2 linked regions of the Lytechinus pictus genome follow. The protein of the gene in region 1 purifies or fractionates together with the protein of each later gene. This does not show direct contact. Links are inferred from orthologs where the notes say so. Each region holds a gene or a part of one and is shown on either strand. Other genes may lie near its edges. The genes, in order: cytoskeleton-associated protein 5-like and SLAIN motif-containing protein 2-like.

Region 1 (16,345 bases):
TTCAGTAGCTTTAAAATTTTACTACAAATGTGTTATATTGTAACAAGTTTTTGAAACAAGCCACTGTTTCAGGCATACACATTTGTATGATCTAGCTTTGGAAAATGGACACTTTTTATTTGGGTGGGGGATGCAGTAAAGTCAGTTTCTTAGAATTATTATTATTTGTTTGTCGTCACCTGTGCCTGGGAGGCGAAAAGAGAACTGAATCACTGTGGCCTGCAGGTCTCTCCTGATATAACTGATTGGGGGAGTGCAGGTGGACCACTACACCGGGGTATCCCCCTACTCTTATACGAATAGTGCAGTGGGTTCTTAACGTGCAAAGGTGGTGACTCTCCTCTACCTGGGGCCTCCATTCAACATCCTATCTGAGGGATGGAGTGTTTTCCACTGTAACATAGCCTGCATCTATGGAACAGGGGAGAGATGTTTACACACAACGCACTGGCTTCAGTCATCCGCCCAGGGGTGGACTCGAACCCATGATCTTTGGTTCGACAGGCAGACCCTTTACCGACTGAGCCAACTTCGCTCTCAAATTGTTGTCCTTTTTGAAAATAGATGAGAAAATGTTAATGATACTGCTTGTGCCTGGTGATATATGTGTCTTAAATTTGAAAGTACTTTTATTTCCAGAAACAAAATGTAAGTGGAAGCCTTTGTGCGAGTTGTCAGCCATTTTTCTAAAACCGTGGCGAAATGGAACCCCCTAATCCTCTGTGCTTACCATCTCCAAGGGCTAAGTCCCAAAATATTTGGTACTATGTGAGGTAGAGTTTGTGTTCTTGCTATGTTTCAAGTATGCATTTATCACATCACCGCCTTTAATTTCTATGGCCCGTATTCTGAAGTCGGGTTTAACTTAAACTGAGGTTTAAAGTTGTGGTTTAAGTATGGACAGCCAATTGTTACATAATCACTAACAGTAGAGATATCATACTTCAGCTCATTCGGCTCTCAAATCATTCATAATTGTGTAGGAAGTATAAATAGATGATTGTCTTCACCATCGATGAATCAGGAAAGAGCACAGTAAACATAAGAAACATACAACTTAATAAAAATTTTGATACTTTTGGCTTCCCATACTTAAACTACAACTTTAAACCTAAGTTTAGGTTAAACCCGACTTCAGAATACAGGCCTATGAAAACAAGGCCATTTACAGATGTACATGACCTGTACTCTTAGACCAAGTATCACTTAGGCCATGGTCTAACTCTGCTAAAATTATGGGAAGCTAAAAATTTCAAATTTCTTATACACACAATCTGCCTCCATGGGAATCAGTTTTAGTGGTCACTATAGGCAGGTGGCCGCTATAGAGAGGTAGCCACTAACACAGGTTTGACTGTATTTTGTATTCTACATATAAGCACTGGTGGTCACCTTTTTTGGATTCAATTTTAACTAACATTAAGATTGTTACCACAACTGGTGTTTATATTAAACAACCAAAGACAATTAACATAACAATGAGAGTGACAATTTGATGGCAAAGTTACGATAGTGATTTATTTTTTTATTTGCAAAGGGGGGGGGGGGGGTGGTCCAAATAAAATCTTATACTAAAGAAATCTATGTGAAGTGCTCAGATCATTCATTAAGAAAATCATGTTGCAAAACGGCTATATTTGTAAAATACAATATCAAAGATATTTTATGTTGTTGGTACGATTTCTATACTGGTATATATTTTGATGATAAGTATTTTGTACACAAAGAATTTTATTCCACTTTCATGTATTGTAATATTGAGTGTGTGAACATTTGTGTCATATTATATAAGACGTGAGCAATGTGTACAGGTTGAGTTATATTTCTGCAGATTAAAGGAGAATGAAACCCTTGAAACCAGCTGAATCCATATCAAAGAGAACAATCAAAGAAACATAATGTTGAAAGTTTGAGGAAGATTGAATGAATAATAGGAAAGTTATGAGCATTTGAATATTGAGATCACTAATGCCATGTAGATCCTCCCATTGGCAATGCGACCAAGATCTGTGATGTCACACACGTACAACTCCCTCATTACTTTAGTACTTATTTCACTTATATTCTCACTTTTATAGAGTCTATCACAAGGTGAGGTGTTCTCTTTATGAGAGGACAAGTACAGAGGTTTCACAACATTATATCATTGATGAATCGTTTGTCATATGATTAGAATGAGCAAAAAGAGACGTTTTGGGGTATATTTTCAGTGTCCAAAAGGGGAGAGTTGTTCATCTGTGACATCATAGATCTTGGTCGCATTGCCAATAGGAGGATCTCCATAGTATTAGTGATCTCGACATTCAAATGCTCATAACTCTTCTATTGCTAGTCCTATTTTACTCAAACTTTTGTTGATCTTATTCTATGATTTTTCTGCTTTCACAAGAGCTAACTTGCTCCAAGAGTTTCATTCTCCTTTAAATTCTCCAGACTCATCGGCCTGTATGGTGAACTCGAGTACAATTATGTCCCATCCCAACTTTGAAAGAATTCCAGTTTAATTGGTTTTTTTTTAAAGTAAAAATGTGTGAAGAATCAATGGAAAGAGGTTCCCTCATTTATTTTGATTTAAAATGACAGAAAGAAAATATGTGGGAATATTAATGTATTATTTTGATTTATACATTGTATTTTGTAATAATCTTGTTCTGAATATATTTGATTGATTGCAATGTTCAATATCTGGCAAGTTGTAAGTAACGCCAGGGCCACGTCTTACAAAGAATTACGATTGATCCGATCAATCTCAACAATATGGACATCCACCACTGCAATTGTCTTTTCTAATAAGGGAATGGCAATGAATTTTCAAGAAAAAAAATGTATGAATATACATTAGATCTAGAATATATTTTGAACAAATAACAATTTTAGATGTTGACATTGCTGGCTTTCCACAGTTGTGGTTGAGTGGATCTATCGTAACTCTTTGTAAGACGGGGTCCAGGGCCCTATAAAAGTTGGCAATCAATTGCTACATGCCAGTGACTGATCAAGATGAGCGTGGCATGCTCATTTTGCTTAAAGACATTGACAAGGGTCTAATTACAGTAGTTTTTTTTATATTTTCAATTCATCGCAAACTCTTGTGTCACTGGGCCTGCCACGCAGTTTGTTGAAACTTTGAAAAGAAGAAAACGATATATTTTATTCTCTTTGCATTTTAAGTGTGTGAATTATTGAGTATAGGTGCTTTATATGTTCATTGGTGTAGTAAACTGAACAGGTTGTTTTGTTGTCAATTTATGATCAGGAAAATGAAATTTCCTTTAATGATTATCTTGGCTGTGAAAACCTGTGTATGAGAAATTACCTGTAAGGAATAACTGACATTATTTACATTACACTGTGGTATCATTTGTGTTTACCATGGATTCAACTGTTTTCAAATAATTTGAAAATAATGCATGATTTCCCAGATAATGATTAAATACATTGAAAGTATTGACATTGTAGACTATTATAGATATAGGAAAGTAGGAAGATGGGAATGGTCATTTTGAACTATCTAATTCTTTTCATGATATGAAGATAGAATTTCATTCAAATGCCATCACATTGAAAGTATAGTGAATAAAGAGTTGAAACTATTACCCAGACTATGTAGTTTTCGTAAATTTAAGTCCCACACATTCTTATCTGTGTGCGGATTGAGTCAAAAGTTTTATCATGAACACCAGTTCTTTGGTGCATTGTTATCAGCCATTTTACAATAATTTTGACACAGTTTCCTCTATAATTTGAATTTGAAACTAGGGGGTGTTTCACAAAGATATAAGTATGACTTTATAATAGGTCGCACTTAAATGAAGACACATACATGATATGCAACGCACAATCTTATTGATCAATACACAGTAGTGTGCGTCCTCCAGCATGATCTGACCGATGCAGTCATGCCTTTTATACTGCACGCAGCTAGACATTTAAGTGCGACTCTAGGTCATACTTAAATCTTTGTGAACCACCCCCCCTGAACTCTTAACTTTAATTACATGTACTACACACATTGTTTAATTTTTATGTAACGACTGACCTTGAGAATCATCATTTGCCATGTGACATGTATTATAATTAGGTAATCCTAAGAACCCTGTCGGTGGCGAATCCAGGTAGGGGGGTACGTCCGAACCGTGCCCCCCCCCCCCCTTTGAGAGGCACACAAAATATTTTTAGGGGGATATGTCATGGTTAAATTTTTCTCTGAACCAATGAACTCCATTTTGGAGTGAAAAACGTTTTCTTTTTGCTTATCAAATTTTTCTTGTAGAAAATATGCCCCTCCTTTTGGAAAATCCTGGATCCGCCCCTGATCCCTAAGTACAATTGATTGATAATTGATCTGAACTTGCTATTACTAAAGTTCCACAAATGTTTCAATGGGAACATCAATCTCCTTTAGATGGTAGAAAGTGTCTGCATGCTCCAGGTTTCGGAGGCTTCTGTCCTCCCTCCCCCCCGGGGGCAAAAAACAAAAACAAGAAAGGCGCACTTTGTTTTGATCTATCTCACACTTTGAACAAAGCATTGAGCCATGTATGATGCCAATTGTCAACTCCCGCATCTAGTGAACAAATATGTACGGCCGCCAGAGGAGGTGGTCTTGACATTGATGGATATCTTTGGTCACATGACAGGGTTTAGACCAATCGCCTGCCACAGATTATTATGATGGATATAATGAGAGATATCACTCAACAAGCAGGAAGTCTCCAGAATTTTCCGGCTCCGCGCCACTCAAAAGTCTCAGAAACCCGGTTCAGACACTTTCTTCAACCTGGAGAGAACTGGGCCCCGTCTTACAAAGAGCTACGATTGATCCAATCAACCTAATCTGTATGGAAATTCATCAATGGCGTAATTTTTTTCAACAGGAGATTTGCACAATGTCCTTTGTAAAGAAAGACAAGTCCACTGGACTTTCAAGGAAACAATGAATGTGTGAATAATAATAATAATAGGCATTTATATAGCATCATCTATCTAGAAATATTCTATTCCGAGGCGCGTTGCTATTATTATTATTACCCCGGCTTTATCTCGAGCTGCCTCTCAGCACTCATGCATTCAAGGAATTAATCCTGCCGGGTACCCGTTTACCTCACCTGGGTCGAGTGCAGCACAATGTGGATAAATTTCTTGCTGAAGGAAATTACGCCATGGCCATCATATCTAGGAAACATTTTGAACAAACATACATTTTAGTCTAAAATGTACATTTGTTCAAAATTTTTAGGTGTTGGCTTTGATGGCTTTCCGTAATTGTGGTTCAGCAGATCAATCGCAACTCTTTATAAGATGGGGCCCTTATGTCCATGTTGAAATGTATTTAGTTGTAAGCTTTGATCATCCACTCATTATTTTTCAGGAGATATAACTATTGAATTCATCACAGGTGTCTAGCTATCATATATTTTCTTTGGTATATATTGAAACACAGAGTTGTACGAATGTCTTTATATGTATCTATGTTTTGTTTATATTTGTTGACAAATCATGTGCATTCTTACCTGTACATAGGAAATATTAAAGAAAAGAATTCATATTCTAAATGTCGGAATAAAGATGTAGTTCGAGTGTTTATTTTATATATTAGCTTCCTCTGGTGTTCCAATATTGTTTTTGAGATATTTTTTAGTTTGTAGTGCCCCCCCCCCCCAGTCAAATGTCAAAAATGCTACTCTGTTTGTCTTGTTAGGTTTAGAATACATGGCAAGAATTTATGAAGGTTACATAACCCCCTCCCCCCCCCCCCCCACATGTAGCCTCAGTGAGACTGGCAAATGAGCTGATAGGATAGACTATTTCATGAAAAGCTATCTCAGCAGCGATTGTGCAATCCCTGATTTTGGTACAAATGTTGGAAATGCCCAAAGTCCCTTATTTTGACACCCATATCAATTTCTAAGGGTGTCAGCCTTTTTTCTCATTATTTTGGCCTTTTGTTCTTGAGTTTGTATTTAAATGCTTTCATTAGCTGTCGGCTTAATTAATATTTCACTGATTTTGCTCTCCGATATCCTATAAAATACATCAGGATGATGCGTCCATTCCTGAACAAATCCTGTTATCATTTTTACTTGTTTGCAGAGGCTAAAATTTGCTGTAGACCATAGTTTTGTTTAGTAGAGATATGTACGATTTCACCCCTGATGCTATATCGCTGCAATGTGTATGTCTTGATAAATGTGGTGGTGATGATGGTTCTGATGGTGGTGGTGATGATGATGGTGATTATATTTTTACCTGATTTGATGAACATGATTTTGGTGGTGATGATCATGATGGTGATGGTTGGTGGGAGTGATAAATGACATTTGCAATGTTGATGGTGGTGATTAAGTTGAGTGATCTAGTCATGATCTTGTAATGTTGCTACGTCATGAAAAACAGTGGTTACATCATTCTTCTAATGCAGTGGTTCGTTTTCTTTGATTCTCTTCCATTTTCTGCTTTTGCTTTGTTAATAGGCCTACTTCTATTCGTTCTATCTGTGCTTCCTCTTTTTCTTGTTCTTCCTCCTCATATGCTCTTCTCCCTGGCCTTTATGACTTTAGAGAGGGGCCCGGGCGGCGATTAAGGGGGGGTTAGCCCTTGTTGCTCATCAGTGATTCAATTTTTAAAGTGGGGAAAAATGAGAAAAAGAAATAAAGGAGAATACAGGCCCCCTATAAAAAAGAGATCTGTATCATGTTACTTTATTGGAATGATGTGACGGCACTTCCATCTAGCCTAAATTATACCCGAACGTCACCAGTGCCGCCAGCCCTGCTCAGAGGATTTTGATTTTTATCCCGTTGTCCTCTTTTATGTGAACGGGAAGGGGTTTCCCCGCGGCGCCCATGGCTGCTACATGTAGACTTAGTTGTATTCTAACAAGGAGTTTTAAGACATGGAGAACCATCCAACACTTTCCCTATAGCCACTTTGATGCTGCAATGATAAAATATGTTACACATGTTTTTCATTGCATATTTCGTGCAGATTGTAGACAAAAGATTCCTGCCTAACTACAGTGCGTATCAATAAAAACGGGACAGTTTTGAAAAGTCTATCAACATTTTGTTTGAAATTATGATGTCTATATTTTAATATTAATAGATGCTCTTAAGTCTTCTCTTTCAAATGCCATTAGAAAAAGAAGTTTCCTTCATGCTTGAGCGAACACGAAACGTTTTTGTCAGGGGTTCAAAAAAAAGGGCTTGCGCCAAATGGCAGAAAATGAGAATATATTGATGATCAGACTTCTAGCTATCAGCAGCCGTCCTCTCAACATTTTCATTATCTTTGCCATGATTTTTTAATTATGCTGTCAAAAATCATTTACAAAGCTACATGTATTGATTTACTTGAATTCAGGGAAGGAATAATTTTTTAATCTTAGGGGCTATTTTGCCATATTGGGGCGATGGCTGAATTCTGGTGGTATTTCTTTAATTTCAAGGGTACGCGGTACATTTCTCCCCAATGAGTAATATGCTCTGAAAGCATATTTCATTATTCTGACGTAGAATATTGATTTTCTTTATATCTTGAATATTGATGGGGCAGATAATGCGGCAACATCAGAAAAGATGATTGCCCCAAGGGCCATTTTACACATTTTTTGGGGGCTGTCATGGGGGCGAAATCGCCCTTCGCCCTCATATTTTCACTACACTGGCCTGAATTGTTTTGTGTTTTCATTTAAACAGCTTATCTTTTAGCATTGAATATTCCTTCATAAGTAAGAAAAACAACAACTTTTTGTCATTCCATGAGCTAGGAGATTTGAATTGTCTATGCTGGGAAGAGCTTGTAAATGATATAAAAAAAAATATGTGCAACAAAGATTATGATGCCTTTGAAAGACATGAATCCTATTGTCAAGGGAACATTGATTCCTTGAACAAGTTAAATTGTGTACTTGACAGGACAGTATTGTTTAATATGTTTTTCAAAGGAACCGTAACCTTTGTAGCACAAAATGAAATGATTTTGATAAATTACAAGCTTCCTTTAACAAAGAATATCCCCTTACCTGGGTTAACAATAATTTTATTCATGCTAAAAGATATCCCAACAAAATAATTCAAGTAAATAGAATAGTTTTGTAAATATATTTTTGACAGAATAATTCAAAAAGTTATGACAAAGATAATGAAAAGGTTAAGAGGAGTCTGCTGATTAGCAAAAAGTCTGATGATCGATATTTTCAATTTTCTCAGTGCCATTTTGGCGCAAGCCTTTTTTGAAAACCTGACAAAGACGTTCGTGTTCGCTCAAACATGAACGAATTATTTGTCTAATGGCATTTGAAAGATAAGACTTAAGAGCATCTATTAACATCAAAATATACACATTCTGATTTCAAACAAAATTTTTGATAGACTTCAAAACTGTCCCGTTTTTGCATGCACTGTAGCCCTATACAGACTTGCAGGCGAATTACAAAAGGAAACATGCTTTTGTAATGATGATTACTTTACGCTGCTTCTGGTCGAATAACATGAGCAGACACGTGGCTCACTTTTACACTGGGGGACAGCAAAAATGAATGTTGCAATATTTCTTGAAATATGATTTGAAATTATTTGACTGGCCGCATTTGGCCGCAGTTCTGGCACATGGCATCACAAATTGATACATTCCAACAAACTAATCATAACCGTGACATTTTTAGTGTAAAATGTTGACTTTAAAAATGTCAAATTATTCGGTTTATCACAATTTGAAACTGTTATCATTCAATATTTCGCCCAATATCAGGCACACTGCGCCTTTGATATATAATTCGTCATGTGTTCAATATCTATGCATGTGCTTAAATGAAAGTGGAAATATTCCAGCAATAATTCTAATTCGCCTCAAATCATTTTTCAGTTTTTCCATGAAACTGACGGCATCACAGGTCGCCACCAAAGGCTACATATTGCATCTATGTATTTCTTTTGTACTTCTTTACAGGGGCCGCGGAAGCGGGGGGGGGGGGGGGGCTTCAGCCCCACACTTTTTTCCAAAACCGTGTACAAAAACGTAAAAATTACCATAGCCTATGAGTGGCGATTTTTTGCATGGTCAGCTAGCCCCCCCCCCCCCCCCCCACTTTGAAAACCGTTCCGCGGCCCCTGCTTTATAAATTGGAAGCTCTTTGCATATCGTTGTCACTCCATTCTTTTTACCTCCATGATTCTAATCAGGCTAATATAACATCTGAATGGGACAAGAGGAATTTTTATCAATCAATCTTTCACCAAATTTGAATGAACCGCGAGCGTAGCAGACGGTTTTTGTCAATTAACAACACAATGGGAAAAGCACACAAACCTTTGACACGCGAAATCACTAAAGTGAGCTGTATTAACCAATCACGGTCGAGCTCTCATATTCACGGACCCACATCCGATTTGAAAACATTTCAGAGATATAACGGGACGGATTTAGACTTCTACTGCGAAATAGGGTAAGTTTTATCTTTTTAAAAACTTTTTGACGAAATTTCTGATATTTCAAGCAATGCTAGTTAAAGTAATTTGTTTCTCTATTAAACATTCTATGATTTTCCCATTGGAGAAGTTGTAGCGACGTGATTGACAATTATCTCCAATTGACTTTGCACATAAACTAAGTTTTGAGTGCAGTGCAGACTTTGACTGAGAGAGACTTGACTTGAGCTGTGCCTGTGGCTGTGATGTGGAAATGTGCAACCGTGTCCGTGTGATGACGAAGGGGAAGACTCGGCTGCAAAGACATGCCTGCCGACTGAAAATGAAAAGACGGTTTATGAAAAAGAGAGTGAGAGAGAAACTTCAATTGTTCTGAGACTTCTGTGTGATGACAATGACATGACAATCGAGTCAATGAAATAATAAACAAGAATCAAGATGAATTCAGTGAATTTGTGCTTGGGTTGGGGATCATTCATGATCATGCCTTTTCATGGGGATGGTGATGATGTTGTTGACATTATTTGTTGTTTCTGACAATAAATGTCTGATGCCGAGCACGTTACTTAATGGCCAATGTCATGAATATCTGTATATATGGCGCAGTTTTGTGTTGGCTGACTTCAACTTCAAGAGAATTTCCCCTCCAGTAATCGTTCGCAAATGTCAGCAATTCTCTCAATCACATTGCAAGCACCCACGGCTACATGATATTGATACATCTCAGCCGCCGACTACAGAATAATTGAAGGCACGGCGCATTCAACAAATAACATTAATTTACGAGAAATTAATACGAGGACTTACAGAATGAAGTCCTCCTACGAAACTTACGAAACGATGTGAAGTCAATTCCTCATAATTTGATGAATATCCCTCAAAATGCGTCATTTAAGCGTTGATTTTTCTTCTCGTTGACAAAATACGAGAGCTACCTTTCTAGCTCTCAAACTTTTCATCTAATGAGCGAAAGAGGGCGCGCGATTTATCTTCATATCAAAGTCCAAAGACACTACAATTGAAAGACTAGACACAGAAATTATCTTACACGTAAATCGATGCAAAGCGTTACGCGAAGTCGGCAAAGTGTTCAATCTTTTTACTGTAAAGACTTTGGTGGAACATTAATTGACAAACGAACGGTAGCACTTGCGGGGCTTTGTTCAAGGTACATAGAATTTTCTATATTTTTTGTTTAATTTGTCATCGTTTTGAATATTTTCCAAAAAGTATTATCGTCAGCAAAAATAATAAAAAAGTATGTTTTTTAAGTTATTGCATTTATTGGGGTCTATATTTTATCAAACAATTATTGGAATTGCGCATACAATGAATCATGAATCTAGTTTAAAAAATACCACCAAGCTGAATTAAGGTTGCGAACTGTATTAGCGCCACCAACGACCTTCCTTTTATTTCCGTGGAAGAGACGTGCGAAGCCACTTTCCAGGTGGAGGTAAGCGATTTTGCTCTTTTTTGTGTCCTTTTTAAATTAAAAAAATATGTTAAAAATTGATAATGGAACGCTTTCTACCAGAAAAAGCCCTGGTGAGTAGCGGAATGGGTTTCGGCTAACATCATTCACGTTATGAAGCGATGTTAACGGCAACTCTAAAATCCACTACAAAAACACGTTGGTTGTGCGAGGTTCGTATAGCATCCATATACTAACCTCGCAATAGTGTGAGTGATTGCAAGGTCAATATGCCCCCCACTTTTCAGAAAATTGCTATCGGGAACTGCTCTATTTCGGCCTCGATGTCATGTCATCGTTTTAATTCTCAGACATCGCTTTGCTTAGTTGGATCAGATTTGCTGTAATTTTGGATTGAAGTTACTGACCAAAATCTTGCAAACATGTGGCGAACAAACGGATGAGCTGCCGCAGACGCATCTTTTGGTCGCCAAATTCCTATCAAAACTAAGGCGAAGCCAAGCATTGCCAAGGGAAGCGATGTCTGAATATGAAATCGACGATGACCTCGAGATCCAGCCAAATTACGGTACTGCCGCTACCGATCGCGATATTCAGAAAAGTGGTGGGTGTATTGACCTTGAAGTGATTGAGAGACTTGCTATGAAATTTAATTTCACTTTTACTTAGGAAATTCAGCTAATTAGCACCCCCATGGCCATGTCTTCCCCAAAAAATGAACTATTTAGAAGTGTAAACATTCATGAATATCTTTTTATTTCACATAAATGTCAATTGATAATGTTTCTGTGCACCTAGAAATTAATTAAGATTTAAAATCATGAATTTATTTTTATTCCACAAAAACTTATCTAAGATGATGTTTCTTGCATGTACATTTAAATGAGTACATGTACCAAAAGTCTCATAGGAATGTGAGAGAAATGATTTTCTTGGGAAACACCTTGGCTTTATACATGTATGTGGTCATATTCAGATTGAACAAAAAAATGGTGCCCAATGTCTGCACACCCATTCATGTAACAGATGATTCAGGAATTTTGATGAGAAGGCTGCATTTTGAGGCCATCACATTATAAAGTACCTGAAATTCAATTTATTTTTGAACAATTTTGAGTCAGATTTTTAAAAGAATATTGTCCTTATTCAATGCTCCACACTAGCTTTTTTTCTTGGTGGCCCGCTCGATCGGTCCACCAAAATCATCAATTCTTGGTGGCCCGAAAAGCAAACAATAGAAAGCTTTACAATTTATCAAAACTTTGGTAGCCTGACTGGGACACCAATTGCAGGCTTTTACAAAATTTTGGTGGCCCGACTCATTTTTGGTTGCCCCGGGCCACTATTAATGTCGAGCCCTGCCTTATGGAAAGATGTAGATTTTGTGGTCCTTGTGTGTCTTCGCTTTTGAATCGTGCAGATACGCATACATGTACATGTACATTATGTATGTGCACCTTACTATAAGAGTGGCAAAAAAAACTTTAAAAAAGAAAAAAAAAATATTGGAAAAGCCTCGGTCAGTCATTTTCAGATTGAAAAAAATAACCGGTGCCCCATGCATCCATGTCTGCATTGCAGCCATTAAAGGAGAATGAAACTCTTGGAGCAAGTTAGCTTTTGTGAAAGCAGAAAAATCAAAGAATAAGATCAACAAAAGTTTGAGTAAAATAGGACTAGCAATAGAAGAGTTATGAGCATTTGAATGTCGAGATCACTAATGCTATGGAGATCCTCCCATTGGCAACGCAACCAAGATGTATGATATCACAGATGAACAACTCTCCCCTTTTGGACACTGAAAATATTCCCCAAAACATCTCTTTTTGCTCATTCTAATCATATGACAAACGATTCATCAATGATATAATGTTGTGAAACCTCTGTACTTGCCCTCTCATAAAGAGAACACCTCACCTTGTGATAGATTCTATAAAAGTGAGAATATAAGTGAAATAAGTACTAAAGCAATGAGGGACTTGTACGTGTGTGACATCACAGATCTTGGTCGCATTGCCAATGGGAGGATCTACATGGCATTAGTGATCTCAATATTCAAATGCTCATAACTTTCTTATTCATTCAATCTTCCTCAAACTTTCAACAATATGTTTCTTTGATTTTTCTCTTTGATATGGATTCAGCTGGTTTCAAGGGTTTCATTCTCCTTTAACTTTACACAATATTCAAAGATTTTGATGAGAAAGGTTGCATTTTGAGGCAGACAGGAAATGCCTGAAATTCAATGTTTTACCACATTTTTTGAGTCAGATTTTTAAAGGAATATACATACATGTAGATACATGTCTACATGGATGTATCGCAGGTGTAAACTTTAGTTGTTGCGGGTCTTTTAATATTAGAATAGCGTATGTTACACGTACATGTACGTATCGAGGGGCATTGCACAGACTTCGGGCACCTTACCATACTCGCAGCCCGCTGGGTCTGGCAGACTTGGCACGGTCTTGGGCATATGTACATGTATGTATGACAAGTTCCCGCAAGTCTGCGCACACGCGTATCTGCGCGATTCTAGTAAAAGAAGATACGCAACGAACACATACTTTACACATGCAATACATAGACAGATGTTCATTAAAAAATCTGACTCATAATGGTGGAAAAATATTGAATTTCGGGCATTGCATGTGATGGCCTCAAAATGCAGCCTTACTCATCAAAATCCCAGAATCGTGTGCAAAGTGAATTTGATGATTTTTGTTATAAATTTGAAATTTCCATCTTATAAGGATTACCACCCAAAGTTCCAAACAAATATTGAGATCACAGACAGTTTACATGTATAGTGGGCTAACCCCTCATGACCTCCCTACTGTATAGCGCTTTGCCATAACTTCACATCACAAGCATTTTTTTATGCTTGAAAACAGCATGACTTGAGGTACAATTTGAGAAATGATAACTTTTCTTAAAGAGGGATTACAAATGGGTAGAATCTTGTAGATGCAAGAGGGGGGCATGAAGTTGTGAAATTATGTACATTAAAAGTTTCTTTTTTATATATTAAATGTCTATGAGACTCCCAATAAAATAAATGTACATGTAACACAGAAATGTGTTTAAATTTCAAATTACTACATTGTAAAATCAATTAAGAAGCTTGTCGGAGAACTTCCCAAAAGTGCTCCTGGGCAAGCTAAAGGACTACAACTAGTACATCTGTACATGTACATGTCGTACTAGTTAGTACACTGTACATTACATACTGTACATGTAGCAACTTTGAAGATTATTCAGGTATTTTGTTTTTGTTTATTTTCTATTGCCCCTTGGCTTACCTACTACATGTATCTGTTGTACCCGCAAAGTGGTAAATAAACAGTTTGCGATAAAAAAAGATTTAAAGACTGGCTGAGTGGATGATATGAAAAAAAAATCATGTAGAGAGAGAATCAAGTGCTTGTATTGTAAGTGCTGCTAGTTTACATGTACATGTATGTTCATATTGGGTTATTTACATGTATTTGCCAGGCTGTAGGAAAGTGTATCTACTGATTCAGCGTGCATAGGAAATGCTTCACAGGAAATTTTGCCGTCATGACGGCTCAAATCTCCCCTAAAATTCCCCCAATTAATGCATGCTTTTGGGGGCTGCCATTCTTTCTAGAGTTGCCCCAAGCAAACAATATTCAAGATTATTAAGAAAATCAATGTGCTATAAACTATTAAATGGTAGAATTTAATGATATTTGCCTTTAATGCAAAATTGTTTGTTGCCCCTAAAAAGTAGCCCTTAAAAATGAGAAAAATAGCCCCCGAAATTTTGCAATTGTCCTAATGTAGAAAAAAAAACGGCTTAAAAAAAATAAAAAGTATTTCCTACCCTATACTGATGCAGGGCCCAGATACATGTAAACAGTATAATGTGAATTCCTTTAATCCTTTTGCAAGTGCACTTTCAAAACAACATTACAAACACATATTTTCTTGTTGATTTCAGGGCACTGACTGACAGCATACGGTCTGTCTTTGTTTAAATACAGATATGTCTATTCCAAATGCATATGTGCATTTGTCCCTCCAGCATAAAAGAATTTAAAAGTTTAATTTAATCACATTTATCTTTTTTACAGGTGAGCAGGTCTAATCTGATGAGAAAAAAATCTAAACTTTAATAAATTAAAAGTAGAGGAGGGGAGGGGGGGGGAGGTAGGAACAATGAAATTCTTCTACATTCTTCACAGTTCACATCTACATTGTACATGTACAATGTACATACATGTATGTGTTCATCTGAACTTACATGTAACTACACATGTATAAAATGAGAGAGAAAGAGAGCTCAGAGGAGAGAAGGGACTTTGATTCGATGTGTGTATATACTCAAGCACGCAGGCCTTCATCCTCAATCTGAGAATCGGATAGAAAGAATACCGTACACATGATGTACTCACACACATACAGATAGTACGTAAATTTACTTGGTCTGAAAGGCAAGACTACTTGCAAGTTGAGGTGCAATTTATGTAGTTGGAATGGGCATTATTATTATCAGTGGCTGCATTGGAGTCTGCATGTAATGATGCGACTCACTGCTGGGATGCACCCCGACAACGGATGACTCATCCTCCATGTCTATAAATACAATTGCTGTCTGGATAGTCTGATTTCAGACCCATAAAAGACATTATTACAGACAATGCATATGATGGAGTGCATTGTTTTATGAAGGGGAGTGTCAACATGGAAAGATTTCCTGAGTGTATAATGAAAGTTTGTTCCTTTTCATGAGAGTCCGTTTCTTTATTTTCTAAGAAAAGAGATGGATATTAGTTGATGCATGGAGGTTTGGGCCTGCTTGTATTGTATTATGTACATGTTCATAGAATATTTTAATATTTTCTCGGTATTTTGTATACAGTACATGTGTTTACAGATAAAAATGTGTTGCAGTTTTTATCATTCTTTCAGACCAAAAGAAAATAAGAATAGAATACTGTAAGTTGCAAATCAATAAAGTTTAACTGTTTACATATTAACGAAGATGTTTTAATACTATTAATAGACAATTTCATAGGAAAGAGGCAAAGTCATTCTGTTTTCATGTTCCCCATTAAACCATATAAAACACTTTGTACACTCTCACACGACGAAAAAATTTTGGGCTCTCCTCTGACATGTTAACATACAATGTACATGTACCAGACCTGCCAACCAGTACGTTTAAGCCGTATTTAGTACGTTTTTGCAACCAAAATACGGCAGTATTTTTTTTTTTTTTTTTTATACAAAATCGTTATTTATTGAGAAAAATCATCTCTATATGTCTCTATTTCTTAAAAGTTACACAAATATGGTTATTAGATCAATGTAATTTCAGGTAACTTGTTTTTTTTTTCAATCATTTTGTAAAAACCAGGGTGAGATATACACAAGTTTCAATGTTTTTTTTTTTCATCTGCAAGAGCAGTGCGCATTTTAGCTTGCATGCAGCTTGAGCGCCGTGATGGGCGAGTGC
Region 2 (15,513 bases), on another chromosome or scaffold:
TTAAATGTAAGAACTTTCAAACATCACAATCAATAAGCCCACATCAATATACAACAACAATGTAAGAAATGTTGAAAATTCAGTAGTAAAAAATACATTAGATCACTCTCAGCATTACTCTGATGACAGCCACAGTGGATTTTGTTGACAGCCTTCAAAAGTTTCGGGTAGGGTGGTCTTCAGATACCCCTCCCCGCAAATAATAATAAATGAATAGAAAAAATAAGAATGAAATTTAAAAAATAGTGTTTATGACTTTAATGTTTTGATTTATTTCAACATCATACTGGCGTGCAGATGATGGCAATGTGGGGGCACTTACCCCTCTAAATGTTAAAATACCGAGAAAAAAAGCAAAACTAATGAGGAAAAGGAAAAAACTAGAATTTATTACGTAAAATACGTCACATAATTCGATTTCCATCTTTTTAGATTTGATTTTTTTTTGCTTGATCGCGACTATTTAGAAAGTGTCTCTGCATGTATACGCCACCTTCTTACCCGTCATTTTTGTTAACTCTCATCATACGCCACTTGCGATCATCACTGTATACGGGCTTAAAAAACATTTATTTACATTGCACAGTGGATTTGTGAGTCAAGGATACGAATTTGCTGTTGCCAAAATTAAATATTATTTATTTTATATACTTTTCCAAACATTATATAGCAATGCATGCAAAACAGTATTTAAAAAATCAAGTCTTTTTGTTGCCATGGCATGGCAACAGAAAGACTTTGGATTTTTTATGCATCATTGATGAAAATTGCATTAGGCCTATGACCACGTAAGAAATTAACGCAGTCAAAATGATCAGGTAATCTGGTTCTCATTATAGATCCAGATTGGATTTCACACTTAAAGGGCTAAATAATATAGCGAGGCATATGACCATGGACCTAGGTCTATGATATGACCAAAGCATATTATAGAATGAATATGATTTCGAGGGTTATCATAATGATGAATGAATTTATAGTGCAAACGTTGGAATAAATAAATTTTCATTATAAAAAAATCCTTCACTGAATATAAATATTTTCTTGATCCCGTGAATGATATAGTGTATGTAAGCGAATCGCCTGTGTGCATGCACGCATAATATTGATATGTTTTTTAAATTTGATATAATATAGTTGCCGCAGCTGTTTCTTAGGCTGAAATTCAGACCTCGTTACGTAAATAAAAAAAATGATCTCTGACTCAAAATCAAATTACTTAATCCAGCATTTCATAAAACAAGGGGGGTCAGATCGACCACAATGGTGCAAAGTATAATCACTCATTGTTTCATTTCTTGTAATGAAACGTAAGCCATGATTATTAAACGCTATATGATTGTAATACAATAATACTATAATGTTAATCATACTCTGGTTCTATAGGGCCATATAATTTTGGCAACACAAAAATGAAAACCACAACAAAATAATGGAACCCAGGGATGTTGATGAAAATCATCTCTGAAACATATCAGACTGGAATATGAAGGGGGAATATAATAAGAGTCAGTACAATATACATAACGTTGATCATAGTTGATGATCGCTGGCATTATACAGAGACTATTATTGAGTGAAATAGATTTCAAGCGACATTGGAACACGTTAGTTGGCGTCTGCCTTTCAAAACACTGCATTGTTCGGGTCGATCGCAAACAGCCTCGCGAGATTTTCCCTCTCTATTATAAGATTCACAAAAAGCATTATGATCGCCACAATAACGTGAATATAATGCACGAATGATATCAAGGCGAAAAGCCCTATACGAGGTAGATGTGACCTGTTCTAAGCATGATATACTTTGATAAAGCAGTTTGTTTTTTATCATAGGTCAGTTCGGGTCACTGATCATTTATTGTTTACAACTCTCAAGAATCAGAAGTGTTCAATATCAATAGGCCTACTGATCATACGCTCAAACAAAAATACTCGTTTACTCATTATTCCTGATCGTAGTATTAATATTATTGAATGACAACCAAATTATGAAAATACCTTTTACAGAATGAACCCATAAGTGAATTTATACATTGATAAAAGGTATAGGCCTGTATAGGCCAGTCCTCGCTTGTGATGGTTCGGACTTGGAACTTTTCTTTTTCATTGCCTTGATTTTTTGTTAAGAAGACAAAATTTTGCGTTAAGATGTGCATTACAGTCGGTTTGAATATGAGAGATGTTAATCCCGTCTCAAAGTGTTTAAGCTTGGTATATGACGAAGGGATCGACAACATGAGAAATAAGGCAAAATGAACCCACACAGATTGATGATCGTAATAACAAAAAGTTCAAATCGCTGGTGACTGAAAACGTAATTCTGTAAAAAAATCAATTGCAAAGCAACATGAAAAGAAAAAAGAAGATAAAAATCCATATTTTTTGTTCGAAACAGACATGAAATGAAATTCAATTTCAACATTCAATAATGTATCATCATCTTCAAATAACAAATACATTTATTTGAAATAAAGTGCATTTACATACCTATTATTGTTCTTAAGTCCCTCTCCTTGTTCTGATGTCTAGCGTTGAGCAGAAAGTGTTATGTTTCTGGAGGTGTACTGGTGCCCTGTATATATGATCAGCTGCTGATCAATAAATGCATTTGACTGTGCCCGCCTCTAACAGACGATCATAAAGCTATCCGCCCTCGAAACATCTCTCGACTTAGTCGATTGGTGGCGCAGTAGTAAAGTTCATCTTCTTCAACATGAAACTACTTCATTCAAAATCACTTTGAAAAGAATACTGTCCTCTATTTAATCAGATAGACCAGAGAATTGTAAACTCGCTGAACATAATGAGGACGAGAGCAGTAATTCGAACCCACTGGGCTGTCTTTAAAAATCAGATTTGCATTATTTTTTTTTTGGGGGGGGGGGGTCGTTTGAGATTAATTGATTAGGTTTTCGGCGTGTCTTTTTTTATTCTGTTTTCTTTCTAAAAAATAGTTTTCTCAAAAGTTAGTTAGACACATTCATGAGATTCATGAGATAATCAGTTTAATAAGTAACTCCTCGATTCAAGGATGGATCCATGATTGACTGGGGATGGGGTCACAATTGGGGCTCATTGTATTATCTACAGAAATGCAAGCTCCGCCCCAAAAGATGTTTAGTATATAGGTCAAGCCTTTCACACGCAAAATTCGTACCGTACTTTGAGTGAAACTGAATTCGCATCTGGAGTAAAAATTTGAATTCGTGATTGTGATTAGCGTTCGTGATTCTAACCATGTTCTAGTTTGGTTTCACACGTGCTAAAAATTCGTCATGAGCCTTTTCACTGGAATCCAGGGACCTGGGAACGATTTTTTCAGTGGGGGTGCTGAAATCTCTCCTCAAAGGTGGGGGGGGGGGGGACACAATTAAGTTTTCCATAATTACACCCACACACCCTCACCCTCATATATATATATATATATATATATATATATATATGACAGTCACTTCTTAGCTTTCTTCTTACAAAAGAACATATACATGTAGTTAGATAAATCGAGCGCGAAGCGCGAGCTATTTTTTTTTCGAGGGGAGGGATTTCATGTATTTTGTCCTGAAAATTTGATATTTTGAGCAATGTTTGTGTGGTTCGGAACAAGATGCGTATGTAACAAATAATAACTGGGAACGTGATCAGCGCGAGCAGATATTTTTTATATACGCTCTGGCCTGATCGAAAGGGACGTGTTATAAGGACTATTTGCAGTTACCCATTAAGACGATACATCTATCAACAATCGAATAATGCGAGCGCGAAGCGCGAGCTGAAAATTTTGACATTCCGACCTAAATACTGGATATTCTAAGCACTTTTTGTAATCATGAAAAGGATAGGTATATAAATATACAATTGATGCGAGCGCGAGCGGAAACAAAATTGAGATTTCAAACCAAAAAACGAGATATTCTAAGCACTTTTCTAATCATGAACAGGATAAGTATATAACTATACAATTGATGCGAGCGCGAAGCGCGAGCGGAAACAAAATTGAGATTTTAGACCAAAAAACAAGACATTCTAAGCACTTTTCTAATCAAGAACAGGATAGGTATTGATGCGAGCGCGAAGCGCGAGCGGAAACAAAATTGAGATTTCAGACCTATAAACGGGACATTCTATTCATGTTTTGTAAATCAAGAAAATGATGGGTAATTGGATATATTTTGACATTAATAATGTGAGTGTGAAGCGCGAGCAGAAATTTTTTGATATTTTGATCTACTCCGCACTGAATGTAATATGGTTTGAACAGATAAAGAAAAATCAGACGAACATAAGAATAAAGATTTGATCAAAATCCGACAAGGAATATCAAAGTTATTGCATTTTAAAGATTAGCATTATTCCGGTGAAACAGTTTTAAGCATGTCTTCATTAATATTTAATGAGAAAACTGATGATGTCATATCCCCACTTGTTCTTTTGTATTTTAATATAATTAGGTTTATTCAATATTTTCCCTTCAAAAACCAAAAACAGTTTAATTGACAACTGATTTAGTCCATTAAATATTCTTTGCTGCATCTTATTTCATTATAAGGGAGACATATCATTCACACTGGTATGAAAAAAATGAAGCAATTGTGATTCCATGTAATAACACACGAAACAGGATAGTGGGGATGTGACATCTTCAACCCACATGGACGAAAATCCCAGAGGGGACAGGAGGACGTGTCCCCCTACCAAATATAGTAGGGGGACACAAGATCAAATGTCCCCCTAGTACTATTTTTGGTCTTTCATGATGGAGAAAAATACATAACTTCACAATCAAATAATAATGTATTTTGGACTAAATGACCTTACATTTTTGGTGAAAACCTTTTTATTTTATTTTTTTGCTTGTCAAATTTTTACAGGCACTGGTCCCCCCTACCTTTGGTTACAGATTTCCGCCCATGTCAACCCACATATTAAGTATTTATGACATGCATATCACAATTTTCATAAATTATTGCTAAACTGTAGAATTAAATAACTTAACTATTCGTTATCAGATTTTCATAAAATTTATTTATTTTGATAAAATGTATTTGATATAAATATTTTCAGCCCGGAGTACCCCCCAAACAAGCTGCGTATCTGAATAAACATGCGTGTGCATGTTTAGAGTTAGACCTAGTATCTGGGCATTCTACATACATTTTTTTTAATTATAAAAATCAATAACGCGAGAGCGAAGCGCGAGCAGAAAACATTTCATATTCCGATCTGAAAAGGGGTGAAGAATTTAAACACTATTTTAAGTACTGTGTCGGAAAATTCTGAAGGGGGGGGGGGGGCTCTACAAAACGTCGTTCATTTTGATTTCATTTCTGTCATTTATCACACCTACCACTAGCTTTCCAGGAAGTGCTGCCTATGGAAAATAACACATGCAGCACCCCCAAATTTTGGGGGTGCTTCACCCCCAGCACCCCCGCTTCCCAGGACCATGGGGCAGGGCAAAAAAGACTGTGAAATTTGATTTCTATTGTCTTACTTGTAATTGATTATAAAAAAAAAACACGCCGGAGGTCGGACGCGCGCACACTTGATTCGACATAAAACCTGGAAGTTTCAAGTCCAACCACACCCATTTCCCATATTTCTCTCCCTGCTATCATGGATAGGTCCATGCTGCTATCGAGTAGTGTGTAAACCCATGGACCTATTACGAATGATAGTGATAGGTCCATGGTAAACCAAATGTGTAAACTATGCAAGTATCGCGCGCGAACACTTCTGTATCGGAATGCCAGAGCTTGATTGAGTCGTGTTTAGGAGGGATGTTATTGGAATATGTAAAAGACTATGTAAATGATTTGCGATTGTCGGATGTGATAATTATGTGAATTATAACATATTTTAAAAAATACAGGGGGAACCTAATTTCGTGGGGGTGCTGCCTATGGAAAATAATACACGCAGCACCCCCAGGAAATTTTCCCCAGCACCCCCGCTTCCCAGGTCCCAGTACTGAGATGTGATTCTTTCCATGCATGGATGATAGCGGCCTAATGAGCCAACATTTTTAGCGAACATAATATTTAGAAAATCATATAATATTTCACCCTCCTCTCTTTCCTTTCCTTTCTTACTTTTTCTTTTCCGGGGGGGGGGGGCGTAAAATATTTGGGTGGCAATCGCCCCAAGCCCCCCATCTGTATATGGCACCGATGGATGCCCTCAAACTACATGCTCCCTTCCACCATGGACCTACTACTTTGACCATGCTTCCACTCTCCTCTAGAGGGGACATCAGTGCTCCCTTCCCACGCCCTTTGCCCCTTGCTTGTCAGCCAATGACAGGTCCTAGTGTGCTTGTGGTGAAATTCATTACAATATCACTGGCGTACAGATGGGGGCAGGCTCTTGCCTCCCCCTAAAAATAAAAATCCATGTCCGAGGGGGGGGGGGGGGGCGAAAATAAAAGGGGAAAGAAAGAAAAGGAAAGGGGGAACGATAAAATATGATACTATAATTTGTGTGATATTTTGTCAAAATAACACAAAATTAGATCATCATCGTTAAACATGCCCAAACTTCCGCTTGCTCGCGACTTTTTATGAATTTCCAATGTGCCCCCCTGCGACATTTTTAGCTCGTTTATACATAGATCTAGTATAGACCTAGACCAAAAGCGTTGGTCTCTGTTATGTTGGTTGTTCCGCTGAACTCCGTTGGCTCCACTCACCAAAATACGAGGAGAAATTTAAAAAAATAAATAAAAATATTAAAAAACTCCACAAAACAGACAGCTGTCTAGTATAGTCTAGAGTCTCTAGACCCTACTGGTCCTACAAAATTGTTATTTATAATAAAGTTCGATCAATACTAAAATCAGAAGCCTGAATATGCCTATATCCTATGGTATGTTATCAGAATGAGGAAATAACTTGTCTTGATTTAAAAAAATTGCATTTTTGTCCACTCTACTACCCCCTCCCCCCCCCCCAAAAAAAGGAAAAAGATAGTGTCTGTAAAAACTAGACTACATAAATAGAAGCCACAGCCCAAATTGCGCATGCGCAGCCTATTGCAATATAATCAACATGGCGAAGAGTAGGTTACCGTGAAAAGGAAAGGAACGTCAGATAAACATTGCTGTTTTCGTTGATTTCTTCGAAAATCTTCACATTTATCGGAGCCTAGTTAGGTATAAAACCATGGAGAACACTATAGACCCTGAAATTGAAGTGAAAAAGCTTCAGGATTTGGTCCGAAAGCTTGAAAAACAGAACGAACTGCTTCGAAGCAAAGCGGATGCAATCGGGAGTCCGGCATCGAATGGAACTCTGCCATTGACAGAAGCCAACACGAACCTGACTTCTAATGGAGATATCAAATCGGGAAAAATAAATGAGACAAGGACAAAAAACTCTGATAAAGGTCTTCTCGATGCAGTTAAAGTATTGGACACTAATTTAGGAGATTCAGATGATGATACTTGGTGAGTATTTAGACTCTAGTCTAATTCTAAACAACACAAAAAAAAGAAAACCAAAGCCCGGGCAAAGCCAAAGGCAAGCCAAAGGCAAAGCCTGAAACTTGAGTGAAAGCAATGCAAAAGAAAAAGATTTATAGCCAGCGCCCACTCACACTAATAGTAATACGACTACGAGGTTATATACTATTACCTCGTACAAGGGACCGTGTTTGACCCTGGATTTTCGAAGTAGTCGGCAAACATCGCTTCATTGCTGAAGTAACATTTGCCGAAACTCCTCGCTACGCACCGGGGCTCTTTCCGGTATGGTGAGACTACCACATATCGACCACCTCTTTTGAAACCGACCACCTTGCGCGCGTTAAAATGATTGCGTATTACAAACGATACGTGCGGGAGAGTAGGCGCAGTGTCCATAGCTAGAAACGGTAAGAATCGATTTTACAAGAAAAAAAGAAGCAACAAAAAGTAAAAATTTAGTAGAATTACGGTAATCAAAATTGTATTGACCAGACCCAAACCTTGCTGAAAAACCAAGAAATCCGATAGGAAATGGCTTTAGAACAAATATCCGTCGTCAATCGTCGAATCATGTGCCGGAGCTCGCAATGGAAGTAGTGAGACGATAATTTAGCATGTTGACATCATAGAACTGATTTTGAAGAGTAAAAATATTTCGCCACCGCGACAAGAATCGGCCGTAAACTTAGCGTATCGCGGGTGGTCGGTTTCAAAAGACGGGTGCAAATGAGCAAATGTAAAATTGTCGTATTCGTTGTTCGTCGATATATACGCGGATTGAATCGGAGTCGCCAAGCGAAACATGGGAATCTGATCTGCTCAATTTTCTGCACAAATGAGACAAAAACTGGGTAAAATTGATGAATATTTTCGCAGATACGATGCTTAGAAGATTAGGTGGTCGATAAGGGGTAGTTCCAACCATATGTAGCAATACATCAAAAAATTATACTATGATTTGTAAATAATTTCATTACAAAAAGAGCAAATTTTGCTTACCTCGGCCTAGCATTGCCATTAGCAAGTGACTTCGTTTGTCTTTTCTACAGAAATACAAGGAAGCCCGTTGGGGGCGCTAATAAATTTCACAACCTTGATTCAGCTCCTTGGTAATTTTATAACTGTGTCTAAATTCTTTGAATGCGCAATTCTTATGATTAATTTACTAATTATGGGCACCAATAAATAAAATACCTTCAAAAAGATAATTCAAGATTACTATTGGCGATGATAACACTTTTTTGCAATTAATTTAAAGAGAAATTCCAGTAGTTGCAGTAAACACTGATTTCATGAGAAAGTCTGTAAAACCAGGCTTAATTGTCAGTATATCATCGAGGATCTAGATCTGGTACAGTTACATAAACTGAACTTTGTAAAATCTTGAAATCTACGCTGAAAAATGTTCAGACTGAACTTCCCCAACACAGATAAGCGCACGTGGGACAGTGTATAATTATTGCTTTGAGCGTCGGGCCCGACGCTCTACCCGAATCCTGTGCTTATTTGCTGATTTCTCAGCAATTACACAATTTCTTCCAGAATCCTTTGGCACATGCGTTTTAAAATACAAACAGACTATTTGGTGGTGATTTCATTGGATTCTGTACGAACTCATTTTGATATCGTTACCAAAACTAGCATTTACCTTTAAAACGATGACTAATAAAAAAAAAATGAAAAAAATACACATGCCTGGAACGAAACCAGCAGTACAAGCTTTAACGTACGTCAATAATACGGTATACCAAAGTCTATACAATGAAAGGATTAGACACTTCACGGACTTCGCGTAATGCCTTGCTTTGATTTGCGTGTAAAATAGTGTAGGTGCCTACAATTTTCGCCTAAAGAGGGCGCGCGATTTATATTCATATCAAAGACACGACAAGGGAAAGACTAGGCACTGCCTAGTCTTTCCCTTGTCGTGTCTTTGATATGAATATAAATCGCGCGCCCTCTTTAGGCGAAAATTGATATCCACGCTGACCAATATTTATCTCCGTGAAATCTTCACTACAGATCAAGAAAATATGCATATTTTTTAAAAGAAACTTCAAGGAGAAGTCACGGAAGGATCTAAATGATTCGGTTAAGTGTCATAGCAGAATGTGAAATACCAGATTATGCGTGATATTTTATGTGGGCAAAAGCCCAGTATATTTTGGATGTGTCGTGTGTGTCGCGTGCATATGACTGATATTCCTTCGCACGCGAGATGATATGAACCCATGGGTGCAGGAGGCATGGCGTTTACGTTACCTCAGGCTCAAGAGTGATATTCGTGTAGGCTCCACTTCACTACCGCTATACTACGATACTCCTTCCCAAACCTCAAGGTACAAAACTCGCTCTGATACTTCAAGTGACAAAGGTGGGATTTTATGAGGGGAAATATAAAACTTGTGCAACAACATGACCTTAAAAAGAATAAAAAACTTCTTTTCATTCTAATTTCACTCCATATCCATCCTCCTATTCATGAGTGGGACTATAGATCAAGGTCTGATACAAATGCGAAAGATCTCGATCTTTAGTCCCGCTCATGAATATTCATGAATTGTGCTGCGATTTCTGCGCATGCGTAATTTGCCTTTGCGTTGTTTTGGAATTGGCAGTGAATTAATATGTGCGAGGAAACTGTTACTGGCTCTAAATTACCATTTTTTAGACTAACCGGAGCGTAGAGGGCAGCAACACACATACGGCCGTGTGCTGCCTTTCTAGTACTAATATTTGAGCTTACGCTAGTGATGTTTTTTATTCGATCGAATGAAGTCGAGTGCAGTCTCGACGATTGGATTTTCATGATTATAGCGAAGTGGGGGTGAGATATCGTGTCTTGTGGCTAGTAAGTATTCGTTTTTTGGAGTAACTGACTGTTCACTGCAGTTTGAGGAAAAATATGTTTTCCATAATTTTCTGTTTAAAAAGCCACTTTCAAAAGGCCGTTTCCGTGAAATCACAGAAAATTACTGTGTCCCTACATAATAGAGGTACTATCAACAACGAGAGAAAGGTTATCGATATCGCTAAGTGGCAAAAAACAAGGGATTATCGAAAGGACTAGCGATAAAGACGTTATCGATAAGAGCCTTACTAGACACGCATATGGGACTGCCTAGCGAACTATCAAAACAAGAAGGGAAATCCCTTCATATTTAACATTGGAACTACCGATCCTATTATACACCTAATGCGTATAAAGGTAGTACAATTTCGAAAAAAAGAAGAAAAATCAGAGGTTTCTTACCAGACCGATGTCGTGTATCCCTTCGTAAACACTGCAAATACAATAGACTTGACCCAACCGCTTCAATATGATGTAGCTTCAATGAGCTATGTTATGAAGATCAATTCATAGATTAAGATTATTATTTATTAAATGATGAAATTTGAATATTGATTTTAAATAGTTATTATTCTTAAAATAATTATTTAAAATCAGTATTTAAATTTTTTATTTATTAAATAATCTATTGTATTTAAATTTTTTTGTATGTCTTTTTTTCTCTCTCTTTTATATGTATGGAGCAATTTCTTTGTTTTGTAATTTTCTGTAATATTAGTATGGTTTTTTATGTGAAATAAATGTTCTTACATCAGAATAAACAGAGTAAAATTCACTGAGCAAAATGCTGAAAATTTCATCAAATCGGAATTCAAGTAAAGAAGTTATTGAATTTTAAAGTTTAGCAATATTTTGTGAAAACAGTTATATGCACGTAGTCATGAATATTTGTTAGGCAGGCGGATGATGTCACATCCCCACTTTCCCTTAATATGTTATTACATGAAGTCATAATTATGATTTCATTTTTTTATGTGTGAATGATATTTCTCCCTTTTAATGAAATAAGCTGCAGCAATGAATGTGTATTGCATCCATGTTTGTCTAGCCTGCAAAGCAGAGTGAGGCCTAATGTGCCGCTTTTCTGATGGCGGCGGCATCATCATCATAAAATCTTAACACAAGGTTACGGTTTCAAAATGTCATCATAAAGTAGAATGTATATGGACCCAGTTCATGAAACTTGGAAATAAAGAGTAATAAAGTATTACTGAACATCCTGCTTGATTTTCTGGTCTTATGATCAAGGTCAAAGGTCATTTAGGGTCAATGGACTTTAATAGACCATGTTGGAGGAATCAACATCAAAATCTTAGCCAAGGTTAAGCTTTTGAAATTTTGTCAAAACTTTGAAAGTTAATCGATCTAGTTCATGAAACTTAGACATAAGGGTAACGGTGTATCACTGAACATCCTGCCTGTCTGAGGTCAAAGGTTGTGTAGGGTCAATGAGCTTTTATCATGTTGGGGGGTAATTGTTTAATTACCATCATAACTTTTTTGTTGTTGAAAGTTTATGGATCTTCTTCATGAAACTTGGACTTTTTATTTATTTATTTTTTTATTTATTTGTTTATTTATTTATGAAATTTATTCATTATTTATTTATCATTTATTTATTTACCACTCATGGGACGGAACACCCAGATCAGCAAATGTTGTTTTTCATAGGGGTCCATACATGTAAGAGCAGTCAAGTATCACTAAACATCGTATGCGAGTTTAAGGCCAAATAACCAAGGTCAATGGTCATATAGGGTCAATGAACTTTGGCCATGTTGGGAGTATTTGTTGAATTACTATAATAACCTCGAAAGTACACAGGAATAATCTGACAAGCAAAAAAAAAAGGGTTTCACTAAGAAATTATCAAAGCAATTTTTATCCAGGAAAAGTTTAAAGTTTAAAAATAGATTTCACTAACAAATAAGAGCAATTTTGTTCCAGGAAAATTGGACAAGCAAGCTTGCGTATGCATGACATATCCACCAGAAAAATATTTTTTGTGCCTTTCAAATTACAAAAGGGGAGAGGGGCATGGGCCGGATGTTCCCCTACCTGAATCTGCCCCTGATTTGTTCTGCCTCATTGTATTTGCAACTAATTTCTTCACTTCGAGTCCTGTGTGACTACATACATTGTACATGTACATGTATACTACGTATAACTCCAGCAGAGTTACAGTTGCAAATTACAAAATAAGAATAAATATGGCTGTGCCCATAAATAATGCAACAATACATTATGGACCAATTATGTAGACCTACTTGTACATGTATATAATGTTGACTACAATAACTACTATGCAGTAACAATCCACATATTTACATTAAAACATTCTACATCAAATGTAATTCTTGTTGTATTCACCTGTTGGTGAACTTGAGGGCAGTCACATCTTTACTACAGCGATGACTCACCAAGCCAACGTGGATCCAGTCATTCCATAGGGCTTGATGCATCTTCCCATTTAACTTGATGAATCCTCCACAGATAATGTTTGTCATTTTAAATTATGTACAGTGCCAGTATTTAACTTCAAACAGATTCTTTCATGATGAAGCTGGCTGTAATAAAACCATGTTTCTCCTCTCGAATGTTTTCAGAATTTGGCCTACTTTTATTTGATTTTTAATTTTTAGTGCATGTACATGTATGCAAAGACTTTCATTGTATGTTTTGTGTAGACACATGATCATTGATGACAATGATACTTTACAATGACATTGGGTCATCAACATTATAATGCAAATTGAATTTTCATAATTCTTTTAATGAGAGCAGCTAATTAGAATTGATCAATTGAGACACTTAAGGCAGCACATTGATAGTAATATGATTACATTCAGTGGACACACAGAAAAAAAACTAGTTTTGGACAGTCACTTACGGTGAAAGTACTCCTACATTAATTGCTGTTGTATTATATATTTCCTTGTATGTTTTCTTTTTTTCATTGAAGGGGCAAATAAAAGGAAAATATAAAGTCAACGAAAGCTGGATGTCTTCCGCCAGAAGCTTATGTAAATTGTACTAATGAAACCTAGGCACATTTTTCTTCTCAGAGTACTTGAATAGTGTACATTGTAGACCCAATGTTCTTCTCTTTCTTCACTTTCACTTCAGTCATGTCTTTAATTTCATTGAGGCTATAGAAGTTTTCAGAGACTATGCCTGAAGAATGACTGTTATCCAGACTAAACCTTGGCTGTACCTGCCATGAACTTGTGGTAAGATGAGTCTACATCACACAAGGCTAGCCCCCGCCAGACAGTGTATGTTTGTATTGCAATGGTATGGTTTAGAAGAGAGTAGTGAGTCAGGCAAAATCTGCTTCCATATTTGGAGTGCGTAAAGTATAACCGGAGGGGGTATTCCCCTAGAAACTGTCAAGAGGAATTTATACTCTTGACTGGGCAAAAATAAATTTGAATTTCATCAATGTGCTGAGAAATTAGATGTAACAATTGGTTGTCTGAAATAATGTATGTGTTTATCTGGAAAGACCCGTAGTTGAAAATGACATTCAAGCACTTGAAGCACCCCTATTATATACTTCTTCATTTGAACTGCATCATTTTTATTTTTTAATAGCCTATTATGCTTGATAGAATTCAATGTTACTTAAAAAAAATATTTTTGATGAGTAGGCTATGTAATATACCTTCCGCTCCATTCCAGGTTTATAGGACTACATCTGTATGCCTAACTGAATGTTTGCTGGATACTCAAAAGAAAAATGCCCCAAATGCAGTATTTTCAAAGGAAATGATAATTTGATCATTGCTGACAGATACTTGTTTGTTCATTTTCAAGAACAAGGGACAGGTTTTTACACAGGCACACAGCAGATAAACATGTAATATAATGTACATGTAGTAAAAGTGCATTTTTTTTCATTTGAACACGTGACACATGGTAGCCCCTTTTGGCAGCTGTTATCCAGTCTTTGGCTGAAAACTCATAAAGGCCTTGGATGTTGAGAAGTTCTTGAACATCTGGCTTAATACTTCAACAGCCATTCCTTGTAATTTGTAGTGGTATATACATGTGTGTAGGCCTGATATAAAAACTGTGTGTGTACTTGTGAGGATTCTATCAGTACATTTTTGGACTTCATTTATAGTAGCCCAAGATGTTTTGTTTTTGTAGTTTTTATAGCTTGAGGTTTTTTTAAAATTAAATGTATTGACCGATGAATTTTCATCGTATCCGTATTAGTGTATGAGCATACAATTTTGTATTAAAAAGCAATCATAATTGTAGGGGATTACTATGTGAAGGCCTACATGTACTGTACATGTACATGTCTACCCAGTACAATATACATGTTCACAGTGATTTGAATTTTTATTAGATTTATTTACTGCGATGGCTCAATATAAAAATTAAAGCAATATGTAGGTTCACATGTTCTGGTAAGAAAACGTGTACATGTATGCCAATACTGACAAATTTGGATTGCAAAGTGCCTCTGCTATAGTCAACCATAAATCCAGAATTCATTAGGTTGCATTTTATTAGAGTGAGAAAGGTCAGGGTGTACGATTTCGATTTGTCCATCTACTTTTAGAGAATGGTGAAATAAAATGAATTTAAAATTAAATCATCCATACCTGTAATAAAGATATCTTGTGAATTAGCTCGGACTTACATGTAGATGAGTATCACAAGTATGTTCTGTACATGGTCCTGGTTGCAGTATTTTCTTTGTCTATGACCAAGTTTGTTTTGAATTACATACATGTATTTATCAAGGAAAAATGTGAAGGATATTAGCACTAATGCTTAAGGTGTGTGTGTTTTTAAGGGTCATGTTAGTGGCATGATGAAGGTTTTAAATTATACTTTATGATATGGATCCTAGGATCCATGGTAAAATTAAAACATCAGCTTTAACAAAAACAGTTTTAACAGTGTCAGATAAATATTTGTTTTTCAATTATTACCTCCCTCTGCTAAACAAACCAAACTCTACATATAATACATGTTTTCTGCTGATGCAGCATTTCTCTAACTTTTTCTGTCAGACTCTCAATCCTTGATATATTTATTGTAGAGAGTAACGTGAGAACAGCATGCCTGCTAGCAAAACACATGATATTTTCACAGCGACAAGCTATCTGTGAATGCAACGAAAGTCTCCTATCAATCGATCCATTTCAGAGAAGGTCTATGGAAGCATTTACCCTTGACTGATAAG

The links.
Region 2: the proteins of cytoskeleton-associated protein 5-like (region 1) and SLAIN motif-containing protein 2-like purify together in Homo sapiens (affinity purification with mass spectrometry; 4 studies listed by BioGRID and IntAct, counting the BioPlex papers as one, with this or other methods). This does not show direct contact. The link is inferred for Lytechinus pictus from reciprocal best matches to the Homo sapiens genes CKAP5 and SLAIN2.

The regions. Positions count from the first base shown.
Region 1 is NC_087253.1:4,052,722-4,069,066, reverse strand, and holds the start of cytoskeleton-associated protein 5-like, read left to right. Parts: upstream 1-9,360; 5' UTR 9,361-9,445; intron 9,446-16,345. UniProt on the Homo sapiens protein: Binds to the plus end of microtubules and regulates microtubule dynamics and microtubule organization. Acts as a processive microtubule polymerase. Promotes cytoplasmic microtubule nucleation and elongation. Plays a major role in organizing spindle poles.
Region 2 is NW_026974140.1:15,919,464-15,934,976, reverse strand, and holds the start of SLAIN motif-containing protein 2-like, read left to right. Parts: upstream 1-7,157; coding exon 7,158-7,400; intron 7,401-15,513.